5 linked regions of the Ovis aries genome follow. The protein of the gene in region 3 interacts with the protein of the main gene of each other region in a biochemical or structural test. Links are inferred from orthologs where the notes say so. Each region holds a gene or a part of one and is shown on either strand. Other genes may lie near its edges.

Evidence for each region.
Region 1: the proteins of SORT1 (region 3) and SORCS1 form a complex in vitro, tested with the Homo sapiens proteins (2 studies listed by BioGRID and IntAct, with this or other methods). The link is inferred for Ovis aries from reciprocal best matches to the Homo sapiens genes SORT1 and SORCS1.
Region 2: the proteins of SORT1 (region 3) and LRPAP1 form a complex in vitro, tested with the Homo sapiens proteins (4 studies listed by BioGRID and IntAct, with this or other methods). The link is inferred for Ovis aries from reciprocal best matches to the Homo sapiens genes SORT1 and LRPAP1.
Region 4: the proteins of SORT1 (region 3) and NGF form a complex in vitro, tested with the Homo sapiens proteins (3 studies listed by BioGRID and IntAct, with this or other methods). The link is inferred for Ovis aries from reciprocal best matches to the Homo sapiens genes SORT1 and NGF.
Region 5: the proteins of SORT1 (region 3) and BDNF form a complex in vitro, tested with the Homo sapiens proteins (2 studies listed by BioGRID and IntAct, with this or other methods). The link is inferred for Ovis aries from reciprocal best matches to the Homo sapiens genes SORT1 and BDNF.

The regions. Positions count from the first base shown.
Region 1 is NC_056075.1:27,058,748-27,064,564, reverse strand, and holds part of SORCS1 (VPS10 domain-containing receptor SorCS1), read left to right. Parts: intron 1-1,212; coding exon 1,213-1,315; intron 1,316-1,579; coding exon 1,580-1,656; intron 1,657-3,997; coding exon 3,998-4,089; intron 4,090-5,361; coding exon 5,362-5,469; intron 5,470-5,817.
Region 2 is NC_056059.1:116,078,002-116,084,397, reverse strand, and holds the start of LRPAP1 (alpha-2-macroglobulin receptor-associated protein), read right to left. Parts: upstream 3,741-6,396; 5' UTR 3,726-3,740; coding exon 3,501-3,725; intron 1-3,500. UniProt on the Homo sapiens protein: Molecular chaperone for LDL receptor-related proteins that may regulate their ligand binding activity along the secretory pathway.
Region 3 is NC_056054.1:86,585,846-86,591,662, reverse strand, and holds part of SORT1 (sortilin), read left to right. Parts: intron 1-1,587; coding exon 1,588-1,704; intron 1,705-2,273; coding exon 2,274-2,382; intron 2,383-3,177; coding exon 3,178-3,276; intron 3,277-3,814; coding exon 3,815-3,921; intron 3,922-4,179; coding exon 4,180-4,345; 3' UTR 4,346-4,527; coding exon of another isoform or gene 4,528-4,542; 3' UTR 4,543-5,817.
Region 4 is NC_056054.1:92,652,020-92,656,696, reverse strand, and holds the end of NGF (beta-nerve growth factor), read left to right. Parts: intron 1-2,180; 5' UTR 2,181-2,192; coding exon 2,193-2,918; 3' UTR 2,919-3,073; downstream 3,074-4,677. UniProt on the Homo sapiens protein: Nerve growth factor is important for the development and maintenance of the sympathetic and sensory nervous systems.
Region 5 is NC_056068.1:57,196,432-57,202,961, forward strand, and holds the start of BDNF (brain-derived neurotrophic factor), read right to left. Parts: upstream 3,483-6,530; 5' UTR 3,258-3,482; intron 1-3,257. UniProt on the Homo sapiens protein: Important signaling molecule that activates signaling cascades downstream of NTRK2. During development, promotes the survival and differentiation of selected neuronal populations of the peripheral and central nervous systems.

The sequences.
Region 1 (5,817 bases), on a different chromosome or scaffold from region 3:
TTCAGCTGCTTTTACTTCTGAGTTTCATTTTCAGTTTGTCATTTACTCTATCCCATCTAAATGTAATCGCTGCATCTCTGTCGCTCTCCGAATATCTGCTGGCTGAGACTTAACAGAGCAGAATGAAAGTAATAACAGAGGTGCACTGGTGATTTCAAAACTCAAGTCGATAAGATTAGAAAATAATCTTCCTGAGAGATGAAAAGTGACGTGGGTTCAGTCACAAACTTGTCGATGATTCAGTACAAGACCGCTTTTAAATGAAATTTGTGTGAGATTTATTATCCTGTTTTTTTTTTTTTGAAAACTGTTGATGTCTTCATCTGAAAACTTGATCAAGTTTTGTATTCACAAACAAGTCCCTTAAATTTTCATTTAAATTGTTGTCTCTTGTGTGTTTCATCTACAAGAACTTCTATGTTGAATTACACTGAATCTGATAATATCCTTACACAGAACTATGTCAGTTATCTGGCAGATGTAAGGACAGTTCCACGTGTCATACAGCTTCTTCTACAGAACTGAGACCAAGGCTTCATATGACTAAGTGACTTCTTCAGAGCACCCCTAGCCTGGCTGCGCTTTCTGTCCAGTCTCAAACCCCATTTCTCCTCATTGGTCTTACCCAACTACCTGTTGTATTACAGCTCCACTCTTCTGCTCCTTTTCTTTGTTGCCTGAAATGTCCTTTATCCTCTGAGCATCTCATCTGCAATTCAAATCCTACCCACCTTTGCCTCAGACACCATTTTCTCCTTGAAATTTCCCCTTAACCGAAGTTAAATGTAGGCTCCTAACCCCTAGAATTTCATATTTTGTCTGTACTTATCTCATGGCTGTTAAAATATATTCCTTCATGGTAATCAATAGAAAGATCTTAAATTGTTACTCCTTAGTGGCAGAGACCAAACTTTAGTCAGTGGTAAGTCTTTCATAAAACTACACCATGTGTTTTACAGATAAAGTATTAAAATGTTTGTCGAATGGCCAAATGGCAGTTATATCAGTAGACTAGACTTGAAATGAAAATGCTCTCTCCTTCAACAGTTTGGCAGCTGTCTTATACTTAGTGGGCACCAGATATCTGTGGAATGAAAAGTGGGGGGATGGATGGGTGGGATGGTTGAATGAACGGATAGGAGCTCTGAATCTGAGCTTTAAACAACCGTTTAAATGGTGTACTTTCATGATCCTCATTTCTCCTCTTCTCAGCCCTATTGCTCCCTACATCTTCACCTTAAGGTCTCTGAGAATCCCTACACATCAGGGATCATCGCCAGCAGAGACACAGCCCCCAGCATCATAGTGGCTTCAGGTAAGCAGCTTGCCTGGTTTGCTCACTGCTATAAATTGTATTTATTTTAAGAAGCCCAGTAGCTGTGCTTGGAACTTAATGAGCAAGCTAAAAATATTTTTGAAAGGCACCTAAGCCACCGATCCTGAAGCAAGTATGCTGAAAACCCCTGCTCAGATAGTGTTTGCAGTGGAAATCCACCTCGGGCAGTGCACACTGCCAGCACAGACCATCGTTAGCTTTTGCAGAAAGTTCTCTTCACTAATGGTGATGTGCTCTCTCCAGGTAATATAGGTTCTGAGTTGTCAGACAGTGACATCAGCATGTTTGTCTCTTCAGATGCGGGAAACACTTGGAGGCAGGTAAGAAAGTATCCTGGTTAAGTTACTGGTGTTTAAATGTGTTAAAAACTGTCCAGATTGTTTCAGTTCTGGGAACTTAGTCACACATAAATCCTAAAGCTTCTCAATGTGTTTATTTCCTTTTTTGTTTTATGCATGGCTTACGGAAGTTCTGAGTTCAACAAATATTTATGAAATTTGATTTCTTTGCGTGATGAGTGAGCCTTTGCATGCATGCCTAGTCACTTTCATCATGTCTGACTCTGTGCAACTCTATAGACTGTAGTCCGCCAGGCTCCTCTGTCCATGAGATACTGTAGCCAAGAATACTAGAGTGGCTTGCCATGCCTTTCTCCAGGGGATCTTCCTGACCCAGGGATCAAACCTGGGTCTCCTGTATTGTAAGAGGATTCTTTACCGTCTGAGCCACTAGGAAAGTCCTAAAAAATTGACACTTTATCACAGCCTATATGTAAGAAAGTTTAAAAGTAACAATGAAACCAAATTAGATATGACTGAATTTTCCCCTTAAAAGAAAGCTGGAAATCTAGAGAGTTTATTATGTAGGGAACATGAAGCCTGGAAGGGAGATTATCTATCTAATGCCGGGTTACTTCTGTAAATTCCTCTTGCCTTGAAGTCAGAATAGAGGAGAATGCAGTGATTCAGAAAAAGCCATTACCCAGGTGGTGCTCTGAGATGTTTAAAGCTCATGTGCAGAAGACAGAGTAATAAGCATCAGGGCGCATATGTTAGGGAGAGTAGAAACGGAATCACTTTCAGCCAGTGTGTTTAGCTTAAATGCTTCCCCTTTCTTCTGAATGAAAATTAGATACTCCTAGCTTATAAAACAGGCGCTTAATGAGGTTTAGCAGTCCTAACAAAATAGGTGCCTAATGCTTGGTTGTTACACTTCAATAAATATGCTTTAATAAGCCACTGACATTTAATTATCATACAATAACTAGCACCATAAATTGAAATCTAATGCACAGGTAATCACATAGCAGTGAGAATACTGCGCTTTAAATTTTAGACAGAGATGCCCATGTTACGGTCTAGTTACCATCTCCTAGCTTCATAGATCTGCACTGTGATTCACATATTTTGAGAAGAGTGGGGCAGGAAAGAAACTTGCTTAAGAAATTCCAGGGGTTTTGATCTTGGAGATATATGCACTCAGTCACTCAGTCATGGCCAGTTCTTTGCAATCCCATAGACTGTAGCCCTCCAGGCTCCTCTGTCCATGGAATTTGCCAGATAAGAATGCTCAAGTGGGTTGCCATTTCCTTCTCCATGGATATATATAAGAACAGGCATTATTAAGCTTCCTATGGACAATAGTTAGAGGCCAGGGTCACATTTTTTTCCTTCTAACATCTCAAACAAAGCAAATAAGTCTCTCCTATAGTCCTGGGGTACATCTTGAATGTAAGAAGTAGACAGAGTGGCAACAATTATGTCTATAGTGTAATCACAGACAAGACTATACTAACAGAGTGACTGTGAGAAAAAAAGATGCATCTTGTATGGGGAGGTCTTAGAAATTGTCTCCAGCCAGTCTGCATTTGACCTCAGATTCCTCCCTCCACATACAGAAAGAGACTCGATGACAATGTACCCAAAGGTATGATCTCGTTTTGATCAGAATTACTCTATGACTCACTAGAGAATCCGTGAGTTGAACAGGAACATCTGTCCCCTGTAACACTTGGAAACTTTGAAGTAATTGCATGTGGAAAGGACACTGTCTTTCGCCCCGTCCTGGCATCATCCATTATCGTCTACCTGGTCCTAGGCAAGTCACCACTTCTTTCTAAACCTTCGTTTTCTCATCTGTGAAAATGAGAGTATTGGAATAGAGTGTCTCCAAGGTTTCTCTGATCTAAAGATGTGACCCAGTGTAACCGTTGCACAAATGTCAACATAATCATAAATGGAACCCAATAGAGCTCACCACAAAATGACAGAAATAGAAATATGAATACATAACTCTTCATCATTATTTAAATTTCTCTTGTGGAGCACCTAAAATCATTTTATGGAACTCCAGTGGTACATGTCACCCACCTGGGGAAGCATTGTTCATAACTGTGTCTCTCCACAGATTTGGGGAGACCCAGTTCTATCATGCCTACCAGGCTCCCCCATCCCTGGGATTCTCCAGGCAAGAATACTGGAGTCTATGGGGTTGCACAGAATCGGACACGACTGAAGCGACTTAGCAGCAGCAGCAGCAGCAGCAGTTCTATCATGGGGGCTCATGGAGAGATTATTTTTCCTCAAATGAAGACTAATTCTCTGAACCCTGGGTGTGTGTGTGGCGGGGTGGGGGGCTGTGTATGTGCTTTTCCTCTTCCAGATCTTTGAAGAAGAACACAGTGTTTTGTATCTGGATCAAGGTGGAGTCCTGGTTGCCATGAAGCACACATCTCTCCCAATTCGACATCTCTGGTAAAGGCACCTGTTGCCCCTAAATCCTGTACCCAGGCCTGGTTGCACACAGCTAAGACCAGTCTAAGTCAAGCTGACAGACGATAACTGTGCTTGGAGTAAATTATCATGGTCTCCTGGAGTATAACTTATACCTTTGCTTTATTATAAGAAGCAAGAGGAAAGGAGAGAGAGAGAGTGAGAAAGAGAAAGGAGCTTACTTCTGCCCTTTAGAGAGGAATTATATATGGTTTTGGAATGTGACAGCTCCCCTCTCCCCCATCAGTACCTCCAGCGCCGCACTCTTCCAGTACAGTCATGGGTAGGATGGTTGTCAAGGATAATCTCTGAATAGCTTAATTTCTCACAGCCACCTATCCCAAATATTGTCTCCTGAAGTTTAATGTTTGCATTCACTGTGTTCATTCTGCACAGAGATCAGCAGTGCGTGTCACTTCTGCTCTGATCCCATTTGGCCTCATTTTTGCGGGCAGGAGAGGGTGGTTTTCTGAAACTCTCCCTGTCGGTCTTCTATAGATGAACATGCAAGGCCTAACTTCCAGAGGGGTTTTCAATAGATTCCTTTATCTGTGTTTTTGAAAATGGCTCTCTCCACAGGCGGGTTCATTCAAAGTGAGAGGCTTGATTTTCCCTCCAGGGTTGGTTTCTTTGGTGGACCAAAGGGAAAGCTGCAGAAATAAGAGAACCAGAGGCTTAGCCTGAGGGAAGGCATCCCAGAGAAAGGCAGAGGAAAGGAAACAACATCCTGTATGACCATCAGAGATGCAGAGTCCTCTCTTACTTTCAAGAGCCTGTTCTGCACCCCGTCGCTCAGTGGGTCAGCCAGGATTTGTAACAATGTACGAAGGATACCACTAAGGGTTTGATCACATGGAGGTGGCTGATTCAAGTCCATCACAGTGGTCTCAGAAGGTGACTGTTCTCAGAATCACCTGCAAGCCTTGCTGCTAGATGACTGCAGGGTTTTAGAGAGGGTCACATTGAGATCTAAGACCTAATAAGATATCCAAATTAAAAAAAATTCTATCAGCGACTTACCATTCCCATTTCATACAGCTCTCCACTGATGTTATAATACATCTGGGCCCCAAATCACTTGGCTAGCTGTATATCCACCTTCTGATGTAATTAAGAACACTTATTCATATCAAAGGCTCACTTTGACAATGCCCCAGGTACTTCTAAAATATATTCTGTCCTGGTTGGTAGTATCTTTTCTTTGAAAGGATTTTCTTTTGAGAGCCTATGACTGTTATTTTTTTCTGTCATCAGGTTGAGTTTTGATGAAGGGAGATCTTGGAGCAAATACAGTTTCACATCTATTCCCCTTTTTGTGGATGGGGTTCTGGGTGAACCTGGGGAAGAGACTCTCATCATGACGTAAGTGGAAAACCGTGTTGTCTTCTGGTCTTCATAGAAATCCAGAAACGTGTGGTTTTTAGCTGAGCCTGTTCGCCTTGCTGCTTTCAGTTTTAAAGTTGCTAGCAAAGGCAGTGCATCTTACTTCATGATTCCCTAGCAAAGAAGAAAGAACAATGCAGGCATCCATTTCCTTGGCTCTTTGCTAGCTATTAGGAGACCTGTACTGTGGACTGGCAGCAACGTGGTACAGCTTATTTCTTCCTATACGGAATGAGCTTAGGGAAATTAGACGGGATTTTTTTTTTCAATAGAAGTTAAAGCTATTAATTTAAAACTTTAATTATAAACACGCTTGATATACAGACA
Region 2 (6,396 bases), on a different chromosome or scaffold from region 3:
GCTTCCACTCCTTGTTGAATAGAATAACCTAATTCTTAAACAGGCAAAGGACTTGAATATAAATTTCTCCAAACACCACACAGGAATGGCCAAGAGGGACATGAACAGACCCTCCAGATCGCAGATCATCGGGAGGAATGGAAACCCCACGAGAGAGACCGCCTCGCAGCGGTTACAGGTCGGTTACTCTGGAGAATGGAAAGCAGCCCCTGCTGGGGGGTAACAAAGGGAGCCCCGCGGGCGACTGGTGGGATGCAAACGGGCACAGCTGCCGAGGCAAACAGCGAGGAGGCGCCTCAGAAACGGAGACAGAGGTGCGGTACGACCCAGCAACCCCCGCCGGGCACTGACCCAGGGCCTGAAGCCAGAATCTCCAAGAAAGACCTGTGCTCCCAAGCTTCTTGCAGCACCAGTCACAACGCCAAGTCACGGGAACAACTCAACCAAGATGTCCATCGAGGTAAGGAAAATTCGGGACAGACCCACAGCGGACTACGAGCCTCAAAACAGAAGGGGAACTGGCCCTCCGTGAAGACACAGGCGCTGGGGAGATAAGCCAGACGTATCTGCAAACACTTCTCCACAACAGTGCTTAACACGAGGGGCGGAGAGTGGACAAGAGGCAGACGAGAGCGAGTGAAGGGCTGGTCAAAGGGCGCAGAGTCAGCCGCGCGGCTCCAGCGAGCCCAGAGACTCGCTGCTCAGCGTGCCCCTGGCAACCAGACTGTGCCCATCTGCTGTTCAGTCGCTCAGTCGTGTACGACTCCTTGCGACCCGTGGACTGCAGCCCTCCAGGCTCCTCTGTCCATGGGATTCTCCAGGCAAGAATTCTGGACTGGGTCGCCATGCCCTTCTCCAGGGATCTTCCCAACCCAGGGATTGAACCTGGGTCTCCTGCAAGGCAGGCGACTCTTCACCACTGAGCCACCTGGGAATCCCATTTAAAAATTTGCTAAGCGGGGGGTGGGTGGGGGTGCGGGGGGTGGGTGGGTGTCGATCTTAGGTTCTTACCGCAAATAATAACAAACAAACAGCTCAGGAGAATATTTGGGAGGTGGTGGGTGTGTTTGTGGGCCTGTACACTTATCTCCAAACTAATTAACAACAGAACTTTTCAGAGGTCAATCATACCTCAAAAATGGTAAAACAAAACAACAAAAAGCCAAAACCAACAACCAACCAAAAAAAAAAAAAAAACCACTCCTGGGACCCAGTGTCCACGCACAGTCAGCTCCAGCCACAGCCCTGCACGCCGACCCTGGACCGAGGTAGGAGCCACACCCTGGCCCACAGAAGGACTGGCGACAGTGGACGCCTTCTCCCACCCTGAGCACACGCCACGCAAGACACACCTCACGTTTAGAAGAAAAGAAACGTGATGTTTTCAGTCAGTTCAGTCGCTTAGTCGTGTCCGACTCTTTACGACCCCATGGACTGCAGCACGCCAGGCCTCCCTGTCCATCACCAACTTCCGGAGTTGACTCAAACTCATGTCCATAGAGTCGGTGATGCCATCCAACTGTCTCATCCTCTATCGTCCCCTTCTCCCGCCTTCAGTCTTTCCCAGCATCAGGGTCTTTTCTAAGGAGTCAGTCCTTCGCGTCAGGTGGCCAAAGTCTTGATGTTTTCAGAGACCAAATTATCCCAAGAACAAAACCAAAAGGCTAAGAATCAAAAGTGCCTCGTGCTGGCCCTGCCTCCTGTCTGGGCTCGGCTCTGGGCGGGGAGTGCTGACCCTGGGACACGGGCCCACTTGCGGGCTCCTGCCACCACCCGAGGAGCTTCTGGAAGCTTCTCCGGCTAGGAAGGCTGGGACAGGCCAGCTTGTATTCCACAGGTCTGCTCAGGGAGCCAAAACATGATGCCACCGGGCATGAGCCCCACCCTGAAGACCTGTGTGCTTCGTTCAGCAGAAAACACCCGTACACGCAGTTCGAGAGTTTCAGGGCCGAGAGGCCCAGGAAAGACGTCTAGGCCAAGGCCGGCCCGCAGTGCTGGGGTTTCCAGAGAACAGAGGAGGCCCTCTCAGACAGCTGTGACCTGAGACGGACCAGGTCAGCAGTGGACTGCACACGGGGGCGGGGAGGGTCACTGAGGCGCAGCTGGAGGGCGGGCGACGGCCAGGAGGCGTGAGGAGGCTGGCAGATGCAAAGCGGCGTCTGGACAGACAAGACGGGGCTGACCAGCACCGCCCTGCGGGCAGGAGGGCTCCGGGCAGGTTCGCGGGCCCAAGCGCCCCTTCTTCCAGGAAGCCCTCCGGCCTCTCCAACCCAGAGTGCTCTCTCACCAGGCAGGCTGCGCACACAGTGGTCCTGACAGCTAGGGACCCCGAGCGGAACCCTCAAGGGCACTGGCCTAGGAGCAGTGCGGGGCCTGGGAGCTAGGGGCCTGGGAGCTAGGGGCCTGGAAGCTAGAGGCCTAGGAGCAGTGCGGGGCCTGGGAGCTAGGGGCCTGGGGTATCTACTGGGCCCTGACCGCCCCGCAGGCCGCTCTGTCCCATTCCTCCCCCACCTTTCTTCCCCCTCAGTTTCTTTTCTTTTCCAAAACTTAGTCCTCACTTGGCTCTCTTTCAAGGACTCAGGAATGCTTAAAACTGGAAGACTGGAGCTGACGAGACTCCATTTGAGAGATGAAGACAGGAGGCCCAGAGGCTGGGGAACTTGTAAATACCCATTTCTCTAGAAACACCCCGCCCGAAACAGCAGGGACTGTTATGTTAACGAGGAAGCTGCTGGCAAGCTGCCTCCAGGCGGAGTGACCTTAGGGGCGTCCTTTGCCCTCTGGGCTTCGAGGAAGGTCCCGTTCAGTTCACTTGAGTCTTAAGTTTCAGGTGTTATCCTCCCACCACATGTGAAAGTGAGTCGCTCAGTCGTGTCCCACTCCTTGCAAATTCTCCAGGCCAGAATACCGGAGTGGGTAGCCGTTCCCTTCTCACCACATCCTCTCACCCAATTTATCAAGAACCTGTCTGCTTCCAGGGTTTCTGTATCCCTGACTTGTCCTCATGACCAGCATCACCCGTTTCCTTGTTTCTCCATATAGGGAAACAATGTAGAAAAGGCAAAAACCTGCAAGGCAGGAGACCTGGGCCTGCCCGCTGGGAGGGAATCTCGGCCTCAAACTGACGGGGCAGCCCCTCTGCCCAGGCCAAGGCCTCCTGTCTTCACCTGTTATCACCAGGCCAGGGTCCCTGTTCCCTGATGAAGAGTACAGGCAACGTAGTAAGAGGAACTCTCACCTGTATGTGCGGGCGAGTCTGAGGCTGTCAAAGGCTCGAGGCCCCGGCCAGCAGACCCCAGAGACGGAAGAGACCCCGGCCCGGGCTCTGCGGACCCCAGGATCAGAGGACGCCCTGCCGACCCCCGAGAGAGAAGAGACCCGGGCCTGCGCCCCGCGGACCCTCGAGACTGGAGACCCGGGCCTGCGCTCCGCGGGCCCCACGATCAGAGGACGCCCCGGCCCGCGGAGCCCCGAGGTGGAGGGAGCTGGCCGCCGCTTACCCGCTGGGCCTTCTCCCACAGCTGGTTCAGCTTCTCCATGCGGAACTCCGCCGCGGGCTCGCGCTTCGAGGGCGGCGCGGGCTCGTTCTTCTCCCGCGAGTACTTCCCGGCATGGCCTGCAACAGCCCACGGCGCGAGGAGCAGCAGCAGCAGCAGCGGCGGCGGCGGCGGCGGCGGCGGCTGCCGGACCGCGCGCAGCCCAGACAAGACCCTCCGCGACGCCATCTTCCGCCTCTAGACGCGGAGCCCCGGGAGCTGCGGGAACGAAAAGGTCGCGCCCCGCCCACCGGGCTCGCCCCGCCCACCGGGCCCCGCCGCGCTGCCTCGTGGGAGTTGTAGTCCCTCCCCGGGCGGCCGGCCCAAAAGGAGGCAGCGAGCGGACTACAAGGCCCGGGGCGCCCTGCGGAGGCACGGCGCGGGGGCGTTTCCTAGGCAACCCGACCACGGCCTGGAGTCTCCGGGCGCCTCTGGGGCTGAGTGTGGCTCAGTTCAGTCGCTTAGTCCTGTCCGACTCTTTGCCAACCCACGGACTGCAGCACGCCAGGCCTCCCTGTCCATCACCAACTCCCGGAGCTTACGAAAACTCATGTCCATTGAGTCAGTGATGCCATCCAACCAACTCATCCTCTTTTGTCCCCTTCTCCTCCCGCCTTCAATCTTCCCCAGCATCAGGATCTTTTCCAGTGAGTCAGCTCTTTGCATCAGGTGGCCAAAGTATTGGAGCTTCAACGTCAGCATCAGCCCTTCCAGTGAATATTCAGGACTGATTTCCTTCAGGATGTACTGGTTGGATCTCCTTGCAGTCCAAGGGACTCTCAAGAGTCTTCTCCAACAGCACAGTTCAAAAGCATCAGTTCTTTAGCACTCAGCCTTCTTCATAGTCCACCTGTCTCATCCATACATGACCACTGGAAAAGCCATAGCTTTGACTAGACGGACCTTTGTTGGCAAAGTAATGTCTCTGCTTTTAATATGCTGTCTAGGTTGGTCATAGCTTTTCTTCCAAGGAGCGAGCATCTTTTAATTTCATGGCTGCATTGACCATCTGCAGTGATTTTGGAGCTGAAGAAAATAAAGTCTCTCACTGTTTCCATTGTTTCCACTGTTTCCCAACATCAGGGTCTTTTCAAATGAGTCAGTTCTTCACATCAGGTGGACAAGGCACTGAAGTTTCAGCTTCAGCATCAGTGCAGCTAGGGCGGCCCTAGCTGGGACGGGAGACTGCCGGGGGCTATAGGTGGGTCAGAGATCTGATCTCCCATCCTGGATTGACCCCCACAAGGGCGTTTTTCCCTCAGCTGCACGGGAAGAGGAAACAGTTCAAAACTGGAGACTGTGTCTGGCTGACACCTTAGCTTGTTTCTGTGTCCCCTGCCTCGGTGTTGAGCCTTCACTGTCGTTAGGAACTCTGGAAATTGGCCTTGGCTGGCACCCCACCGTACATGTCTCTGTCAGGAAGCCTAGATACCCCCTCCCAAGCCCACTCCTTCCCAGGGAGCCACAGGTGTTCCCGCCTCCCCAAAGCTTCCCCCTGCCCTCTAGCGAGTGCCTGCACCTCAACGCCAACTTTAAATTGCACCCCCTTCTCCCCCCCGCACTGGTTCTGTTATTAGAGATGTCTGTGTACCTGTTCTCTCTCCCCACTTGCCGTATTCTAGTAAACAAACCTGAATACAGCCAACGTGCTAGGGCCGCTCTCCCAGCGGGGAGACTGGGGGCAGGCAAACAGTGGGAACCAGACGGCGGCCTCGAGCAGCTTCTGGGGTCAGGTAGAGGCACCCATGGGGGTGCTTTGGTGCTTCGAGGCGGAGCCGCGCAAGCCACGTCTGGTGAGGATGGTGGACCGGGCCTGAGAGGCAGTGCCCCAGGGAAGAGAGCCAAGCGTAGCTTTCTTGACATGAGAGAAGCCACTGTAGGCCTAGGCCATGTTGCCATCTCAGCCTGGCCACAGCGCTGGCCTGTGAGGAAGAGCAGGCCTCGGGAGTGAATGACTTTAAGGAAACAAAAGCACGTGAGAGCAAACAGCTATTACCAGGCCAGGGAAGTAATTTAACAATTTAACTGGAGATAATGCGTCAGTCCTGGCAGTTTAGTCTGTACGTTGTGTCTGACTCTGCGACCCCATGGGCTGTAGCGCGCCAGGCTCCTCTGTTCATGGGATTTCCCAGGCAAAGAATACTGGAGTGGGTTGCCACTTCCTTCTCCAGAGGACCTTCCTAACCTAGGGAATGAATCCTGACCTCCAGCATAGCAGGCAGTCTTCAACATATCAGGCAGATTCTGTACTGCTGAGCCTCCAGGGAAGCCTCACATCAGTCACAGAGACTGCCAGTTCTGTTTCCGAGATAAAGAATAGTCTGACGCATACTCTCTGAGCTGTCGAACAGGGTCCAAACCCCCTTGGACAACTGGCCCCCAGACTAACTGGCCGCCAGACCACTGACGATGTTGATCTTTGCTGGCTTCAGTCAGCCAAGACCCTGGCCTCTGTCAGCCTGGGATGACGCTGCCCCAGTGCTATGCTCCATTCCTCTTTGCACAAGCCCTTTCACGAGCGTGTGTGCTCCCGCAGCTTGAAACTTCCCCCATTTTGCTGTCCTGGGATACACTGCATTGGGAAGTACCCCCGAAGTTCTCCTTACTCGCGGCAGATAATAAATCATTCTCCCACTTTTTGATTTGATTGGGTTTGGCTCGATACCCACTAAGAGGTGAACCCAGTTTCTGGGGGTAACAGGAGGGCATTCCAAGTGGAGGGTCCATGAAAGGAAGGGAGCGGAGAAAACCTGGGCATCTTGGGAGGACCTGGAATTTAATTACTTAAAAAGAATTGAGGCTCTTCCGCTGCCATTTTAAATCCAGCTCCATACAATGCTCTGCCGCCGCTGCCGCTGGA
Region 3 (5,817 bases):
GCTGTCACAGGAAAGAAATGAGGGCGTCCAGACGGGGGTGCTCAGGAAGATAGCGCCCTGGACAAATGTAAAGAAATGACAGGAGAGGCCAGCACAAAGGAGGAAACATGATACATTTTGAACATTTTTGTTTCTTTTAGGTTCTGTCAACAGATTTATGTGGCAGTGTTCAGCAAGTATTTGGAAATGTAGGATTAGAGCTCAAGAGAGGTAGAACCTGGAAGTTTTATTAATTTTTTAAAATTTTTATTTCTTTGTATTTTTGGCTGAGCTGGGTCTTAGTTGCTGTGCACAGGCTCTCCAGTTGTGGCGAGCAGGGGCTACTCTCCATTACAGTCTGCGGGCTTCTCACTGAGGTGGCTTCTGTTGTTGCAGAGCACAGGCTCAGTAGTTGTGGCTCCCATGCTTAGTGGGTCCAAGGCATGTGGACTCTTCCCAGACAGGGATCAAACCATGTCCCCTGCGTTGGCAGGTGAGTTCCTCTCCACTGCACCACCAGGGAAGTCCAAACCTGGAAGTTTAGTTGCAGCCAGTCGTTAAGCTCACGAAGGGAGAGCAGATACAGAGTAAGAGAACGAATAATAGAATCTTGGACAACGTCTGCACCTGCGTGTTAGGAAGAGAGCAGAGCCAACAGTGGCCAGAGAAACAGATGAGTGCAGCTCTCGGGTGCAGCGGGTGTGGCACAGCGGCGTGCCAGCGGGCCCAGAGTGGACAAGACAGAGAAGCCCCCAAGGCTGGGTGACTGGTGGGCCTGCGGGGGCACAGACATTCATTTTCAAGGCTGCAGCGGGGGGTTCAAGCCAAGATGCCGAGAATAAAAAGTAAATGAGTAAAACAGAACAAGTAGAAGAGAAAGTTGGCCAATAAGGGAGAGAGGGTGGTGAAGGAAGAGGACAGGTGCAGGCTAAGGAGAAGTGGCAGGGTGAGGGGACTGGCGGCCCCTCCACGCTGTCCATGCAGCAAGCCCCCACCTAGGGGCACGAGGTGCCAAGGCCCTGCATGTCCTTTCTTTGGGGAAAGCAGAGCACTATGGAGAGATGGGATGGGATGGAGGGCAGGGATGGGCGTTCACATTGGCGTCAGGCACCATCTAAGAAGCTGAGAGGGACACAGATGTGGGGAAGGCAGGAAAGGTTTGATATACACTCTCATGGGTATGACATAATGAGTTATTTGGAGATGGAAGAACTGCTAAGTGTCCATGCGTTTAGGTCTGTGGCTGACGCACTGTTTCTCTGTGTCTTAGTTGCGTGTATCCCCACCCCCTATAGACTGCACGCTTTCCCTTCCCTGAACGTGAGCTGTCTATGTGGAACCTCCTAGCTACTGAGTCCTCAGTCCACCAGGCCCAATCTATAAGCCATTCCCCCACCCCCCCTCCGCCCCCGCACCTCCTGCCAATTAAGCCCTGTCTGTGTGATTTTGTTCCTAAAGAGACCTCTTTATATGTCACAGACTTCCTTAGCTGCTTTCTGGCAACCCACGCCTGGAATATTAACCATCCTCTGCCCCACATAAAACCTTCACTGCTATTTGCCTCCTTTCAGCAACTTCGAAAGATACATTTTTTGCTGATTCTTACAGTGATTTTGGCTACTTCCGTCCAGAAAATGACTCCAAATGTGTGGAACAGCCAGAACTGAAGGGCCACGACCTCGAGTTTTGTTTGTATGGAAGAGAAGAGCACCTGACGACAAGCGGGTGAGGCGGCTTCTCCTCCCGTGTCGGGCCTGCGTTTCCCCTGTGCAGGGAGAAATTGCCCTCCACGCACTTCCGAGTACTTGAGAGAGTAGAAAATCACTGTCCGGTAGAGCCTCCTGTGATGGGGTAAATGCTCTGTGACCTGCTGTGGCCCCTAGCCCTCTGTGGCTGTTGACACTGGAGTGAGGAACTGAAGTAATTTTGATTAATTTAAAAGTAAATAGTCACCATAGCAGAGAGTGCCATTCTAGAGGAGCCTGACTGCCGACTCCCCTGATGACTCTCCCCTCCCCTGTATCTATACTGCATACTGACGGGCTTTCCCCGGCAGTCTCATAGGGCAGAAAGTCGGCATGTCATGCAGCATGGCAAGGGATGTGTGGTCTGTCCAAGGACCGAAACTACACAGCATATCCCCCCAACACCCCTGTGGATCTCCCCCAAGCCCTGAAAGACGGTGTAAGGACCAGAAGTTTTTCTGCAGCTTTTCAAATCTTGTTTTCAGGAAGTGAGCAAGAATCCAGAAGTGCATCCTTGTATTCTGTCAACACCTTTTCTCTGCCCCTCAGGTACCGGAAAATCCCAGGAGACAAATGCCAGGGTGGCGTGAATCCAGTTCGAGAAGTGAAAGACTTGAAAAAGAAATGCACAAGCAACTTTTTGAGTCCAGAAAAGCAGGTGTGTTAAAGTAGATCTAGTGTAGATACAAGTGGGGTTTCGAGTTCCGCCAGGAAGGTCAAAGTTGCAGTGTGTCGAGAACTTTATCACCTAATACAAGTGGCCAGACCACTTATGGCAGGTTTCCCGTTGCACAGGAAACTGTTAGGATGGAAGGATGGTCACTTAAGCCAACAATAAGCTCATCTACTGAAAACTTTTTTGGGGGAGGGAAAATGGTGCTCAGTATTTATCCAAGTCTTAGAAGCTTAGGGTTGAGAAAAATTCTGAGGCTCAGAGTCACTTAGAAAAAAGACTCAACAAGTCCTGCCATCAAGGGCTGGGGTTTTGCGCATGTGGAAGGGAAGGGCATGAGGCCCTAATTAGTGGGGATCTCTCTGCCGAGTCTGTCAGGTATGTTCATAAGGAAAACCTGCACCGCGGTAATAAGTGGCTGGTTTTGATTTAGAAGCAAGTTTGGGGCTGATTCCAGATCTGTAGCACTGAGCTGTCTGGCCAGGATATGGGGATCTGGTAAGAGGAACCCTCGTGATAAAGAAGCACTGGCCCAGCAGTGTGACTGGGAACAGAAGACTGTGGACCCCAGGTTCCTAATCTGGAAATCAAGAGATGGGCAGTCTGCAGTCCCTCCTGTCTAACCTTCTCAGGACTGAGGGCCTGACGGGGTGGAAGAAGGCAGGGGGAGAAGAGTGTGTGGGTGTGTGTACTTGTTGGGGGCAAGCTCCTGCTTCTCTGCATCACTGCCCTGCACTCCTGGTGGCTGTCCTCAGAGTGTTTGTGTGTGTGATTGCACAGGACTCCCGCCCACAGGGACACAGCTTGTCCCAGAATCCAGCTCCGCCTCCTCTGGGATACACTGAAAACACACACTCCCTATCTCCCACCCAGAAGCAGGTAGGTCACACTCAAACAACAATATGACAAAGCTTATTTATAACAACATACGAAAATTTAAAAGACGAATCTTGGTATCATGGGAGGGCCTGCCTGACAAAGCATTGGCACAGCTCCTCCCCAGGTGATGGCCCTATGCTAGATTCATTCACCCACTTACTGTCACGGTCTCCTTCTCTGCTTCACCCTTAAAAGCGCCAAGACTTAGAATCAGTGGTCATGGCGAACAGCCACAATTATATTTGATCTAGGTAATTACCATAGCTTCCAGTGTAACTTCGACATTAAAGCCCCGGAGTTTGCACTATTCTGACAGCTTCAAGGCAGCTCAAGTTTCAGTTACCCTCTGCCAGCTGTGGTATTCTCCTGGTAACACTGAGATGGTCATCTTGAGGGGTTTGGGAACATTTCATCATTAGGTGCCTAGAGACTGCAGATCGTTGAACAGAGAAATGAGAAATTGAGCAGCCTGTTTGAATTCAGTCCTGGAATATGCACACCCAAAATTGATTGTGTGTTTGTGTTTTAATTTATCAAGAATTCCAAGTCAAATTCTGTTCCAATTATCCTGGCCACTGTGGGATTGATGCTGGTCACAGTCATAGCAGGAGTGCTCATTGTGAAGAAATACGTCTGTGGTGGAAGGTAAGGAACCAGAATCAGTCACACCCACAAGTCAGCCAAGGGCAGAGCCTGCTGCTGGCGAAAACTGACTAGTTGAAGTGACGTTACTGAAACATCAGACTCAAATCTTTCCTTCCATTTTTCATATGCTAACTATAGGCTGTGCTTCTTGTATGTGTGACTCATTCCATGAGTGTGTAAAACTTGGAAAGTCCACAGCCCTATAAGAAATGCATTCTTCCTCACCACCTGAGGGTTGACAGCAGTTTCCACCCCCAGGTTCCTGGTGCATCGATACTCAGTGCTCCAGCAGCACGCAGAGGCTAATGGTGTGGATGGTGTGGATGCTTTGGATACGGCCTCCCACACTCACAAAAGCGGTTATCATGATGACTCAGATGAGGTGAGACTGTTTCTTCTTGAGGGGTGGTGCAGAAGTTTTTAAAAGAGCGATTCTTTTTTTACTTATGACCAAGGTATGTTTGAAGCAACAGAGGGTTTAAGCTGGAAGCAGCAACTTAATGACTAAGACTTGGCCAACCCAGAAGCTACCTAATGGCTTTCAAAATAAGGATTAGGGATTTTTTTTTGGTCTGTAAATAATATGGCCCATGTCTTTTTTTTCAGGACCTTCTGGAATAGCTCCTCTAAAGAGCTGGGACTGAGTATGAATGATGGATCCGCAGTACCTCCTACACTCCCTGTGGCTCCGACTTAGGGAAATAAATTTCCCATTGCGAAGGACCCAGCTCTGTTTCTGCTGCTTCCATCAAAGCCAAAAGGACCTACACTAAAGAAATAGTGGGGTGGGGACCTGAAACACTCTTGCCAGTTGGCTCGAAGAAGAGAGGGGAAATTTTTAATTCTTTAACTTTACGAGTTCTGTGTTTTTGCAAGGTATGGGCCCTTTTTGGTTTTGGTTTTTAAGGGAAATGAAATGGAATTGAAGGGAACTTTTCACTAACCCCACAGTCGCATGTTTTGTGTGGCGCCTACCCCAGGGCACCGGCCAGCTTTGTCATCAACTCTCATGAAGCCCTCGGTGCCATCCCTGGGCTGTGCCATCCCTGGACAGTGCCAGCACCATGAAGCAGCTGCGGAGATGAGCAGAGAGGCTGCGATGACTGGCACAGCCTGGGCAGCCTCTCTCTCTCTGGGGCCAGCCCCACTCCAAGAATAGTGCGCACCAGCTCCTCACACAGTTCACTGCTTTTTGTTGTTTCTTTCAGGAGCGGTAGGCCACAGTGATTTTTCTTTTCCCCTGTTTAATTAGGCAATACCCTTGTTAATTGCCCTTTGGCAACTAACTTACATGTGCTTCCAAGACACTAAATCAGGAAAACTTAAGGGGCAATATTTTTAACTTGGGGCAGGAAGAAGGGAACAGCAGAGAACTGACTAGATTTAGCACCTATTAAAGGAGAAATTCTTGCTTCTTCCAAGATCTTTCAAGCCATGCCTTATGTGTGTGCCAGTGGGCTTGCTCAAGGATGGGGCTCAAAGCTGGGTACCCAGGCTGAGCAGCCTCTTCACTGGAGCGGCTGGTGGCATGCACGGCACAGCCTCTGAGGACGACTCATCCGTGAAGCATTAGAGTGGCTGCTTATTCGCTTCCTCTTAGGTCGCTGCTCTACATGGAGCCGTGACTAGACATGTGTTCAGATTCAGGCTTTAAAAAAAAGTTCAGTTTTGTTACCAAGTTCTCCTCCTTACCCCTCCACTTCCCCAGCTTTCCCAAGTAGTCTGTTGGCTTGAAACTTTGAGCCAAACCAACTGAAAAACACACTTCTAGTGCAGATTGATGTTTTGTGTGATACATTAAGTTCATATCTTAAATTTAATAAAATGTTCCCTTTGACATTTTTTTTTTAATGACATAAATTAGAAAATGTAGCAAGGTGGATTTCTGGGTGGCCA
Region 4 (4,677 bases), about 6.1 Mb from region 3:
GCAGCAATATAACTGAAGAAAACAAAGTCTTTGATCACAGGACATTGGAATGACTCAGAATTAAATAGCTGTATACTGCTAAGTCACTTCAGTCGTGTCCAACTCTGTGAGACCCCATAGACGGTAGCCCACCAGGCTCCCCCATCCCTGGGGTTCTCCAGGCAAGAATACTGGAGTGGGTTGCCATTTCCTTCTCCAGGGCATGAAAGTGAAAAGTAAAAGTGAAGTCGCTCAGCTGTGTCTGACTCTTAGCAACCCCATGGATTGTAGCCCACCAGGCTCCTCCATCCATGGGATTTTCCAGGCAAGAGTACTGGAGTGGGGTGCCATTGCCTTCTCCAAATAGGTGTATAAGCACCTATTTAATCCTAACAACAGCCCTGTGAAATAGAGTTTGTGGTGGTTTAGTTGCTAAGTCGTGTCCAACTCTTTGCAACCCCATGGGCTGTAGCCCATCAGGCTCCTCTGTCCATGGAATTTTTTCAGGCAAGAATACTGGAGTGGGTTGCCGTTTCCTTCTCCTGGGGTTATCTTCTTGACCCAGAGATCAAACCCATGGACCCATGCCTCCTGCACTGCAGGTGGATTCTTTCCAGCTGAGCCACCAGAAAAGCCCTGAAATAATGTTTATTGCCTGCTTTTTATCATTGAGGAAATCAGAGCTCAGAAACATTAAGTAGGTTTCTGCTAACAAGTAACAGGACTAACACTAGGTCCAGTGCAGAGTTCTTCTCATTACACTGATTTAGTAGAAAAGAACAAATACACACTTCTGAAGTTGAGAATGGGGAGAGATGGCTATTGGTTGGGTGATCTGAGAAGGTCTCAAGGAAGAGATGGTACCCATGCCAGGCTGGAAGAGTGGGCAGAGAGCAGAATGACCTGGGGGAGAGATATGGGGAGGGAGTGCATTGGAAGTTTAACACCCTGTCTAGGGGGTGCCTCTAACCCTACCAGGAAGATCTGGGGAAGCTTCCCAGAGGAGGTAACATCTGATACACATCTGCAAGTGTGTGTAGGAGCTCATCAAAAGTGAGCTCAAGAATGGAGCTAGTTTCACAGCAGGTTGCCCTGGGGGTGGTCGCTGGTAGGCAAGTCAGTACAGTTAGGTTCAGAGTCCCATCTGGCAGGAGCTCAAAAGGAGCCTGTACTGCTAGTGGGGACAGATGATTTACACTATTTGGTCTATTCTCACTTAAGATTAAATAATTTTTGAAAAGACACACTTAAAAATGAAAGAGAAAGTGGAGGAGGAAGGAAGGGTGGAAGGGTAGACTGGCTTAGTAAGGGGTCAGGTTTAGATTCTATTTCTGGTTCAGTTTTTGTAACTGTCGGCCTGTTACTTCATTTCTGTGGATCACTTTCCTCGCATATGAAAGGGAGATGATAAATCCTAACCTAAGTCACAAGCTAACAAGAAACTTGAAGTGAATGCATTTGAAAAGCTGAAAAACATCACTCATGAAAAGAGAAAACATTATCAATATTACAGGCATGCACCGGTGGCTGAATAGCTAGACTGGCTCAGACGTCCCAGAGCTATATACTTTTTTTTTTTTTTTTTTTTGCCAGACATGGATTGGCATGTTTGGATTTTCAATCATCAAATCTCAGAGCTGACCTGGTGCTCCTACCTGCAGAGGGTGGGTTCAAGGCTGAGGCTTCAAGATAAATCCCCAGCAGCCCTTCCCACTGCCTTCCCAGGGAATTCAAACCATTGGGCAGGCCACAGCGCTGGGAGAGGTGTCAGACTCACCTTCCCCAAGCCATTCTGCTGCACACACACCACCTGCCCGTGGTGAGACTGCCTCACTGGCGGGTGGAGAACTCGAGCGACTCTTTAAGCAGTACCACCCAGTTCATACCACAGCACTGGGCAGAATTTCTGGGACTCTGTCCGTTCTTTCCAGGAAAAGCTCACCCCTTCTAGATGAGGTGCCCAGACACCAGGTTGTCTGAGCCAGCCCTGTTTAAGCCTGTCACCCTAGCGTTACAGTCATAGCATCGCCTTTCACTCTCAAAAGGGTCCCAGTTTGAAATTCCAGGGTCACCTTGCCCTTAGCCACCAGGGGAAGCCTCCTTGTCATCCTCTGGGAAGGTCAACTCCGAAGTACCCAGAAACCACCCTCATCCAACGCTCAGCGCCCCGCGGAATAATCCTCATTTCTGTTTCATTCCAGGTGCATAGCGTAATGTCCATGTTGTTCTACACTCTGATCACAGCTCTTTTGATCGGCATACAGGCAGCACCGCACACCGAGAGCAATGTCCCAGCTGGACACGCCATCCCTCAAGCCCACTGGATTAAACTTCAGCATTCCCTTGACACAGTCCTCCGCAGAGCCCACAGCGCCCAGGCTGGGCCGATAGCCGCCAGGGTGGCAGGGCAGACCCACAACATCACTGTGGACCCCAAACTTTTTAAAAAGCGGCGACTGCGTTCACCTCGCGTGCTGTTCAGCACCCAGCCCCCACCTGTGGCCGCAGACACTCAGGATCTGGACTTCGAGGCGGGCGGGGCCGCCTCCTTCAACAGGACTCACAGGAGCAAGCGGTCGTCATCCCACCCCGTCTTTCACCGGGGGGAGTTCTCGGTGTGCGACAGCGTCAGCGTGTGGGTGGGGGACAAGACAACCGCCACGGACATCAAGGGCAAGGAGGTGATGGTGCTGGGAGAGGTGAACATCAACAACAGTGTATTCAAACAGTACTTTTTTGAGACCAAGTGCCGGGACCCCAACCCCGTGGACAGCGGGTGCCGAGGCATCGACGCGAAGCACTGGAACTCGTATTGTACCACGACCCACACCTTCGTCAAGGCGCTGACCATGGACGGCAAGCAGGCCGCCTGGCGGTTCATCCGGATCGACACGGCCTGCGTGTGTGTGCTCAGCAGGAAGACTGGGCGGAGAGCCTGACCTGCAGCAGCCCCCACCCTTCCTTGCTCCCCTCTACACTCTCCTGCGCCCCTCCCTACCTCAACCTGTAAATTATTTTAAATTATAAGGACTGCATGGTAATTTATAGTTTATACAGTTTTAAAAAATCATTATTTATTAAATTTTTGGAAGCAGCTTGTGTGCTGGCCCTCCAGTCATTCTGCCCAGGGTGACAGTTGCAAGTCTTGGTTCGGAGGCTGCAGGGAGGAGGGTCCACAGTACCCCCTGGCTTTTTCTCAGTGTGTGTGCGCTCATTCGTGTTTCCCTCTGTGTGACCCCATGGACTGTAGCCCACCAGGCTCCTCTGTCCATGGGATTTCCCAGGCAAGAATACTGCAGTAAGTTACTATGCCCTCCTCGAGGGGATCTTCCCGATCCAGAGGTTGAAACACCATCTCATGTATCTCCTCCATTGCAGGCAGAGCTTTATCACTGAGCCACCTGGGGTATCTTACTCTTTCTCTCAGACACACCTGTAACCCTCACCGACCCGTCACTCCCAGCCAGCCGTGCCACTTCAGGGAAAGCTAACTGGGTTCAGATATTAGCCTAAGCCGGGCATGATTAGGAAGGGACGTCTGTTGGATTGCAACTTTGTTCTGCATTCCAGAGCCAAAGATACCTAATCCTTGGATTACCTGCCCCACAGCCCAGATTCTTGAGCCTTGATTGCTTCATTTGGGGAAATTCATGGAGCCTCATTAGAAGGCAGATCCCTGCCGGGCATAGAGCTACCTCCCACCTCAGAAGGGCCCAGGCTGGGTCCTGGAAGGGCTCACTAGATGGATAGGAGGAGACTTGCACCAAAGACTGAGGCAGGCTCTTTTTGTGAGAGGATGATCTGCTTTTTTTTTTTTTTTTTTTTTTGCTGAAAAGCTCTCTCAAAGAGTTGTAACAAAATAATCTCAGGAGGCCTGTCAAGGTAGATCTGATTACATGTTAAGATTGCCTTAGTTCTAATGACTGGCCCTCAATTTATTCCCCGGTAGCTTCCTGCAGAAAGACTCCATTCCCCCCAGAAAACATGACGACCTCTAACACTCCTGCCACCTATTCACGGCCCCACAGCAACTTCCAGTGGCCCCAGCATCAGTCCAGAGTCACAGGAGCCAGAGACCAGACCAAAAAGAACCTTTTTTTTTTTTTTTAAAGAACTTTTAAATTCCTACCGGGGTGACTTCCACAAGTGACCAAAGGTGGATGGGGTCATGGGACCTGCAGAGAAGATGACAAAAATGAGTGAGAACCAATACAAACAGCCGGATAAGGGGCGGAGGAGGGGTGAGGACTCTGCTCCTCCCTCACAGAGAACACTAGACAAGAGAAAGACAGGGGGTCAGGGGGTCTGATGATGGGATCACAGCAGAGGAGGAAGGTATGTCATCTTTACCAGCATCAGGATCCCTGGGCCTCTAAGAAATCCAACACCCTGGGTAGTTGCCTGGGTTGTTTTGGGTTTTTGGATTGTGTGTGTGTTTAGGCTGGGGGAGTGCTCATCCATACTGGCTGTATCAGGAGAGTCTTAGAGATAGTTGGAGGTGACAGGGACTCCAGGTACAGCGTGGAGCAGGGCTCTGTCCATCCTCAAGGTGCCACTTTCCCCTGCAACGTTTCTGTCTGTTTGGTGTTTTGTTTTCTCCCCAAAGGCGCAGAATTTTTTCACTTGGAGCACTTACATAGGGATGAAAATTTTGCTTTCCTACCCTTCCTCTTCCCCCCAGGGTAAAAGGCCGATCTA
Region 5 (6,530 bases), on a different chromosome or scaffold from region 3:
TGTTGTTTCTTACTAAGCTTCCCCTAGAGGACAGGCCAGGAAAAGGAAAGAAACTAAATTTCACTAGCTTCTCCTCTTATTAAGAATACAGATTACAGATTCGAGAGGGAAAGAGTCTGGCAAATGAACGAAGCAGCATGTGAATTTTGATTTTAGATATTTTAAAGGTATTCTTTCCAATTTACAGATAGGCAATTTTACAAACAATATTTTGTAAGCCAACAAGAACTTGCTTTTAAAATCCCATTTACTGCCTTACCATATACATTAGATGATATTTAAAAATAACTAGCACTCTGGTTGAAATGGAAATGCTGTAGGCACAGAATGACATAGTGATACCTCCCCCTTATGGAGTGTCTTCTTCCCAGTTTGCAAAGCTCTTTCAGACATTCTCTTCTATCCTCCAAAAATTGCTGTGTTGTAGGTCTTACTATCAATGACACTGAAAAAGCTACAGGCAAAATGAATATATTTTCATCTGAATCAATACTGATATATTCCATTGGGGGAGCTAGACCAAGCTAAAGTCTCACACACAGAAATATTAACATGCAAGACCAGGGGGCACAAAAGTAGGCTAGTTTACTGTTCTTTTTTTTTTTTAAGGTCAAAAATACCCCCTTCCTCTTTCTTCCCCTCTCCTCTTTAACACCTTCTAATGTTCTCTCTAGTTTCAAACAGGACAGTTGAAATTTCTTGCCTTCCTACTGAAGAGCTCCATGTAAATATACATAAACAGTGAGGATCAGGTGCACTATTCTTAAAGTGATACTCATTTTCACAACACCAGGCGAAACCATTTCACCTACAAGTCAAGGATATGTATGTGAGCGCGTGTGAAAGAGGATGACGTGACACTTTTGAGGTTTAAGTTATGAAAGATCTCGAGGTTACAAGAATTAGGTAAGCATTTTCCCTCTTTGTCTCTCGAAGACTCGAAATCTACAATTTTCTCCATTTGACTGTCAGATAAATTGGCAAGTCGACTAAAAGGATAATATTCCCTTAACGGTGCATTCATTTGAAGCCCTAGCAACTGTATTAGGCAGCAGCGAGTATTCGCTAGCAAAGCATTTCGAGGAGACAGGAACTCTGCAATTTAGAGTGACAGATGATTTTTTTCTCATCCATCAAACCGCCTCAAAATGTCACAATATTTACACCTCTTTCTTGGTGAATTAGAATCCAGAGACAGGCAGACGAGGAAAAAAAAAAATGCCGACCGGTTGCCGCTTGATTTGGGGAAAAGCAAGTGTTGCACCTTTAAATTCTGCCCCTCCATTCCCCGTTTCCCCCCCTTCTCGGGATTTTGCAATAAATCTCCCAGTTCTGCGTTCAGCCCTGCAGATCCGTATTTAAAACAGCACCATCTGGGAAGGGTGGGCGGCGACGGTGATGCGGACTCCTTGGAGTTCCTTTGCAGCACGCTTGGAATTGCATCAGACTGATCAGAAATCCCCCCGCCCCCAAGCCCAGCCCCTCCCGCCCCGTTCCCCTCCCAGTCCCTCCCCTCCCCTCCCTGCGCGTAGATCTGACTGAGAAAATGACTGGATCTCGGAACAATCTGTGCCCCATTCGCTGCAGGCTTGCTCCGTAAACCCTGCCCAACGCTCCCTTTGTGTGCGTAGCAGCCTATCACCGTCATCTGATCCTAGTGCCTGGTTGTTTTTTTTTTTCCCCCTTCTAAATCGCCACAATATCCTCGCGTTGCCTATGAATCCATTCTTTTCACCTGAGCAGAGTTGGAATTCTTTCTTTTTCGTTCGCTAAAACAGTCCAGTGAGTTTCGGAAATAGGTTTTCCCCTACGCTCCCCCACCCCCACCTCAAGCCTTGTCTCTTAATTAAAGAGGGCTGATCCAGGAAGGAGGAGTCCAGAACGCACAAGCCCTGGGGTGAAAATTACCACCCGGCTTGGCTCGGAGGCCGGAACAAAGGGGCCGGGAAGTGGGTAGGTTGAGGGTTGTAGGAGTGTGGAGAGGCTGGTAGCCCCTGCGCAGGGGCGCGCAAGTCCCTGGACTCCCAGAGGGGAGGCAAGACAACGCTGTCGCGCTCTCCGGCCGCTCTCTGTCCCCCCGGGACCGAGGAGGGGAGGTGGAACGGAGGACTGGGAGGCTCTGAGCAGCTTTGACCACCCCCGCCCCCTGGCCCACCCGGGCGGCGGCGAGCGGGCCGCCCTCCACACGCGCCTCCGGGTGCAACCTCGCGGTGGCTGGGCGGTCTGTGCACCCAGCTGATTGGTGGCTGGGTCCAGCCGCCGCGCGGAGCTACTCGTGTTCTCCTCCTCCTCCAGCCGCCCAGACCCCATTTCCCGGCCCGCTCCCTGGCTCTTCGGCCCGTAAAGGACATCTCCTCCCAAGTAGAGGCCCCCTTTTCCTTAGTTACCCCTACTGACTCGGACCTGGGCTCAGAGAGGCATCCAGTCCGGCGGGGGAGCGGAGCGCGGTCTCGGAGGCTCCCCTTCCCTTGAGAAAGCGGGAGCCCTCTAAGCCAGCACCCGAAACTCGTCGGGAGGGAGGAAAGAAGGCAAGAGGGGGGTGAAAAAAAAAAACAAAAAACAAAAACAGAAACATCCAGCCAGGCGCGAGGGCGACGGTGGGAAAGAGAGAAAAAGGAAGGGACGGAGGCAGGAGGAGGGGGCGGGGTGGAAGAGGGGGGGCGGGAAGGAGGGAGGGGGAGAGAGAGGGAGGGATACAGAGAGAATGAATCCTTCTGCCTAGAAGAGCTGAAATTACCTTGATGTATTTTGTGTTGGAGATTTAGCGTTACCTCCTACCCTCTCCCAACCTCCACCGCCCCTTTCCTCACCGCACACCACCTCCACCGCCTAATTCTAAATGGTACAAAGTCAAAATTTAGGAAATCGAATGTTGGGTAAAAGCTTCATAATTAGTAATGAACCTACTGTACACACACACACACACACACACACACACACACACACACCAGCAGAGAACGGAAAAGAAGGAGATGAAGGGGAGAAAAAGAGAAATCTTACATTTGAATCAGACATTTGCAGGTCCAAGTTAACTAAACTCATTATATCCGCAGGAAAACTGAGCTTCCCCACCCCCCTTCTCGCTTTACCCCAAGGCTCTCACCTAGGGCAATTCAAACTGGGCAAATACCAAGAAACAACCCCCCTCTCACACTCTCCGTCTACTTCCTCCCCACCACCGCGCGTCCTCTCGGGAAGATCGAGTATCAAAATAGCTCAAAAATTGGGGTTGCAGGGGTCCCCGCCCCGGTGCTTACCTTCTTTGCGGCTTACACCACCCCGGTGGCTAGATCCTGGAGATAAACACTTGCATTTCCCAAAGTTAACCCAGTATACCAACCCGGAGCTTGCCAAGAGTCTATTCCAGCCTACACCGCTAGGAAGCCAACTTCAGCGAGCTCAATGAGGGGACCAAACTGGGGCTCGCTTTCCAAACGCTCCGCTCCAAAATCTGACTCTCTCTCCAGCCCCGATCTCAGTGTGAGCCGAACCTCCGAAAAGACGCTTCTTAAGGGCGACACAGGGCTGGCTTACTGCGGGGCCGAGACAGCTACCTGGGGTACAACCACCTAAGACAAATCCGTCGGCTCTGTCCAAGGTGCTGAATGGGCTCGTATCTCCAGGATTACACACCCGGCGCGGCGGGAGGAAAAGACTAAAAAATCTGTAATTAAGTGATATTTGATATTGCTCTAGACGGTTTCTTCCACTTCCTTACGTTTTGTCACGTGCGGATGGCTTTGCCAAAGCCATCCTGTTAATAGTTGATCACATGTTGATGAGACCCTTTTCTCCTATGAGAGGCTTACCCATTTCATTATCGGCAATATGCCCTTCTGACTTATTTCTCTCCCACCAACCCCACCCCCATCTGCACCCAAACTCCCAGTCTTTATCCTATCCTTACCCCCACTCCACCCCCGACCCCAAACTCTAAGAGCATTATTGTTTTAAGATGGAAATTAATCTTCTTGCGAATGTCAGTTACATGCCCACATATAAATCATAGAATATGCTCATATATCACACACATAGAAGCAAAGAACCGAATGCAAGAAGGCTGGGAGAGAAGCATCAGCCTTGAACAGCCAATATAACACACACACCCTCCCTCCAACTCCAAGTTTGTTCCACGCAGTTCCACATTGCTGTGTTAAATCTCAAATGATTCCAATTAAAGTTGCACTATGTAAAAACCCGATTCTCCTGGCCTGAGTAGCTGCTGTTCTTTGGCGTGTGAAGTGCTAGGAAGAGCTGTGATATGCCCGTTGTTAAGCAACATGTCAAGATTTTTCAATTATAATGCAGGGTTTATTGCTACTCACCATTGTGCCTCTGCTGTCCTGGAGACTCAAGTGTCTTAAAATCCCGTCTCCCCAACAGATGCTGGAAGGTAATGTGTCTTGTTTGAAGTCATCATGTGAGAAGTTCGGCTTTGCTCAGTGGATCGCCCACCACTTGGTGTGACTTATGAATCTAATAACCCTTTGCAATATCCGCAAGCTTAAACTCTCAACCACCTTGGCGACTACAGAAGACAAAGCAACTCGCATCGATGTTGGAAAACCTATAGATTTACGCAAACGCCCTCACTCCGAGAGACACGTTTCCTTTCGAGTTCTTACGTGATTCTAATGAATGAGCGAGGTTACCAATGACTGTCCAAGTGCCCTGCTATATAGCGGTGGTTCCCAAGGCTGCCTTCCAACCGCCGGTCACTGGGTCCTGGCACAGAAAGTTCCCGGGGAAAGTGGGGAGTTTCAGGGTACCCTCATGTAAATAACCCAGCCTGCACACTGCTCCCTTGCCCACTGCTCAGGTCACACCTGGGGCTCTGGCAAAGCTGAGCTCGACTCGGGAGATTTTCCTGTCGCCAGGTAAGAAAACCTTCGCCTAGACAGGCTAGGGCGGGAAGACCGCTGGGGAACTTGTTGCTTATCAGCGCCAGAAGGCTACCGCTTTAATAATTCCAGAAAAACGCAGGGGGAGGGGGGCGAAAGCGGGGGGCGGCATCGACGACGACTATCCGTGCTGTTTACGTGACCAACTTACTGTGACTCCTTTGGTAAAAAGGAAACTTCTTAGAAAAGTTCGTACCCCTCCCCCTTCCCCCAATGACTAAGGGTCTCCAGCTGATGAGGTCGTGAGTGACGATCAAGTCGGAGGGGCGGGGGCGATGGGGGCTAAGCGGGGAGGGGGTGTGGGTGAGTGACTTGTCCTTGGGAACAACCACATGCGCGGAAGCGCGCAGGAGCCCGGCAACTTTCCCTTTCCCTCTTAGGGACTGATGACTAGGCGAGAGGCACCCGAGCGAGCCACTAGTTGCCCACAGGAACCTGTGTAAATCGAGCTCTCGAGCGGCCGAGTTGAATGAAGTTCTGACTGCGTTTGCTGTAATGGTTATGGCTTCTCCAATGTGAGTTAACAGCGCGGGTGCGCAGCTAGGTCGGCATGGCGCACCGCGAAGTGTGGAGCCGCGGGCAAAGGCAGGGAGGGGTGCATCCGCAGCGGTTTGACGCTCCGCGTCCGCTCGGTGCTTCTTCCCCGGAGTCGCTTCCGCATCATCCGGGGGCTCCCGGGCCATCAGGGTGCCCGGGTGAGAGCGACGGGGAAGCGGAGCGGCGCTTGAGAAGCCGGAGATGGGATTGAGCTCCGCGAGAGGGGGCTCTCCCAGGAAGCCCCGCGGTTAGCACCCGCGCTTCCCGCTGGAGAGGTCACGTGTTGGCGGAAAGTAACTTAGAAGGGATAGAATGAACTTCAAGGAGAAGAGAAAAAAGCAAAAGAAAACAAACCACCTCCCCACCCTCTCACCCGCACCTCCCTCGACCCCCGCCCCACCCCAACCCCATGTGTAAAATAAAGGCAAAGAAGGAAGAGGTGGGAGGGGGCGCGGCTCTCTGCTGGAGACCTGCGGAGAGCTTGCGAAATCTCAGGCAAAGAGCTGTATAACCCGGTCATCCGCAGCGTCCCCCCGGCCTAGGGAGGCGCTAACCCAACGTAGCTTTCCACTGAAGCTGCCCTTTGCCTACCCCCAGTCGGCGCCTCCACAGCGGAGCAGAGGAACGGAAGACGACTGTAAACCAGTTGTTATGGAGATGCCGGTCGCTCTGAGGAGCGCAAGTGCCCTGGAAAGTCCCCAGACGCATTTCAGGTTTCGTCGTTTTGGCACCAACACCAAGATGTTGCTCTCCACCCAGAGTTCCCACGAAGGGGAAGCCCACCAACGGCGTCACAGGCCCTGACCGCGGCGCTATCGACTGCAGGGATGAGGCAGAGAGATGCTGCAGAAGATGGTGGATAGCTCTTAAGTTTCAGACCATCCAACCGTTTCCAATTTCTAGTTTCTTTATGCCGATCAAAAGTGCTGTGTCTGAATGACATTCGTGCTTCCTTAGGTGAATAAACCTCAGTTACACGATAGGATGATTAGAAGCAACAGAAGATTAGCATTCAGTGGCTGCTTCAAGATCCTCTCCCCTCCCCCCTCCCATCCCAGAAATGCCTTCCTTATGGAAAATGGGCTTCACTTC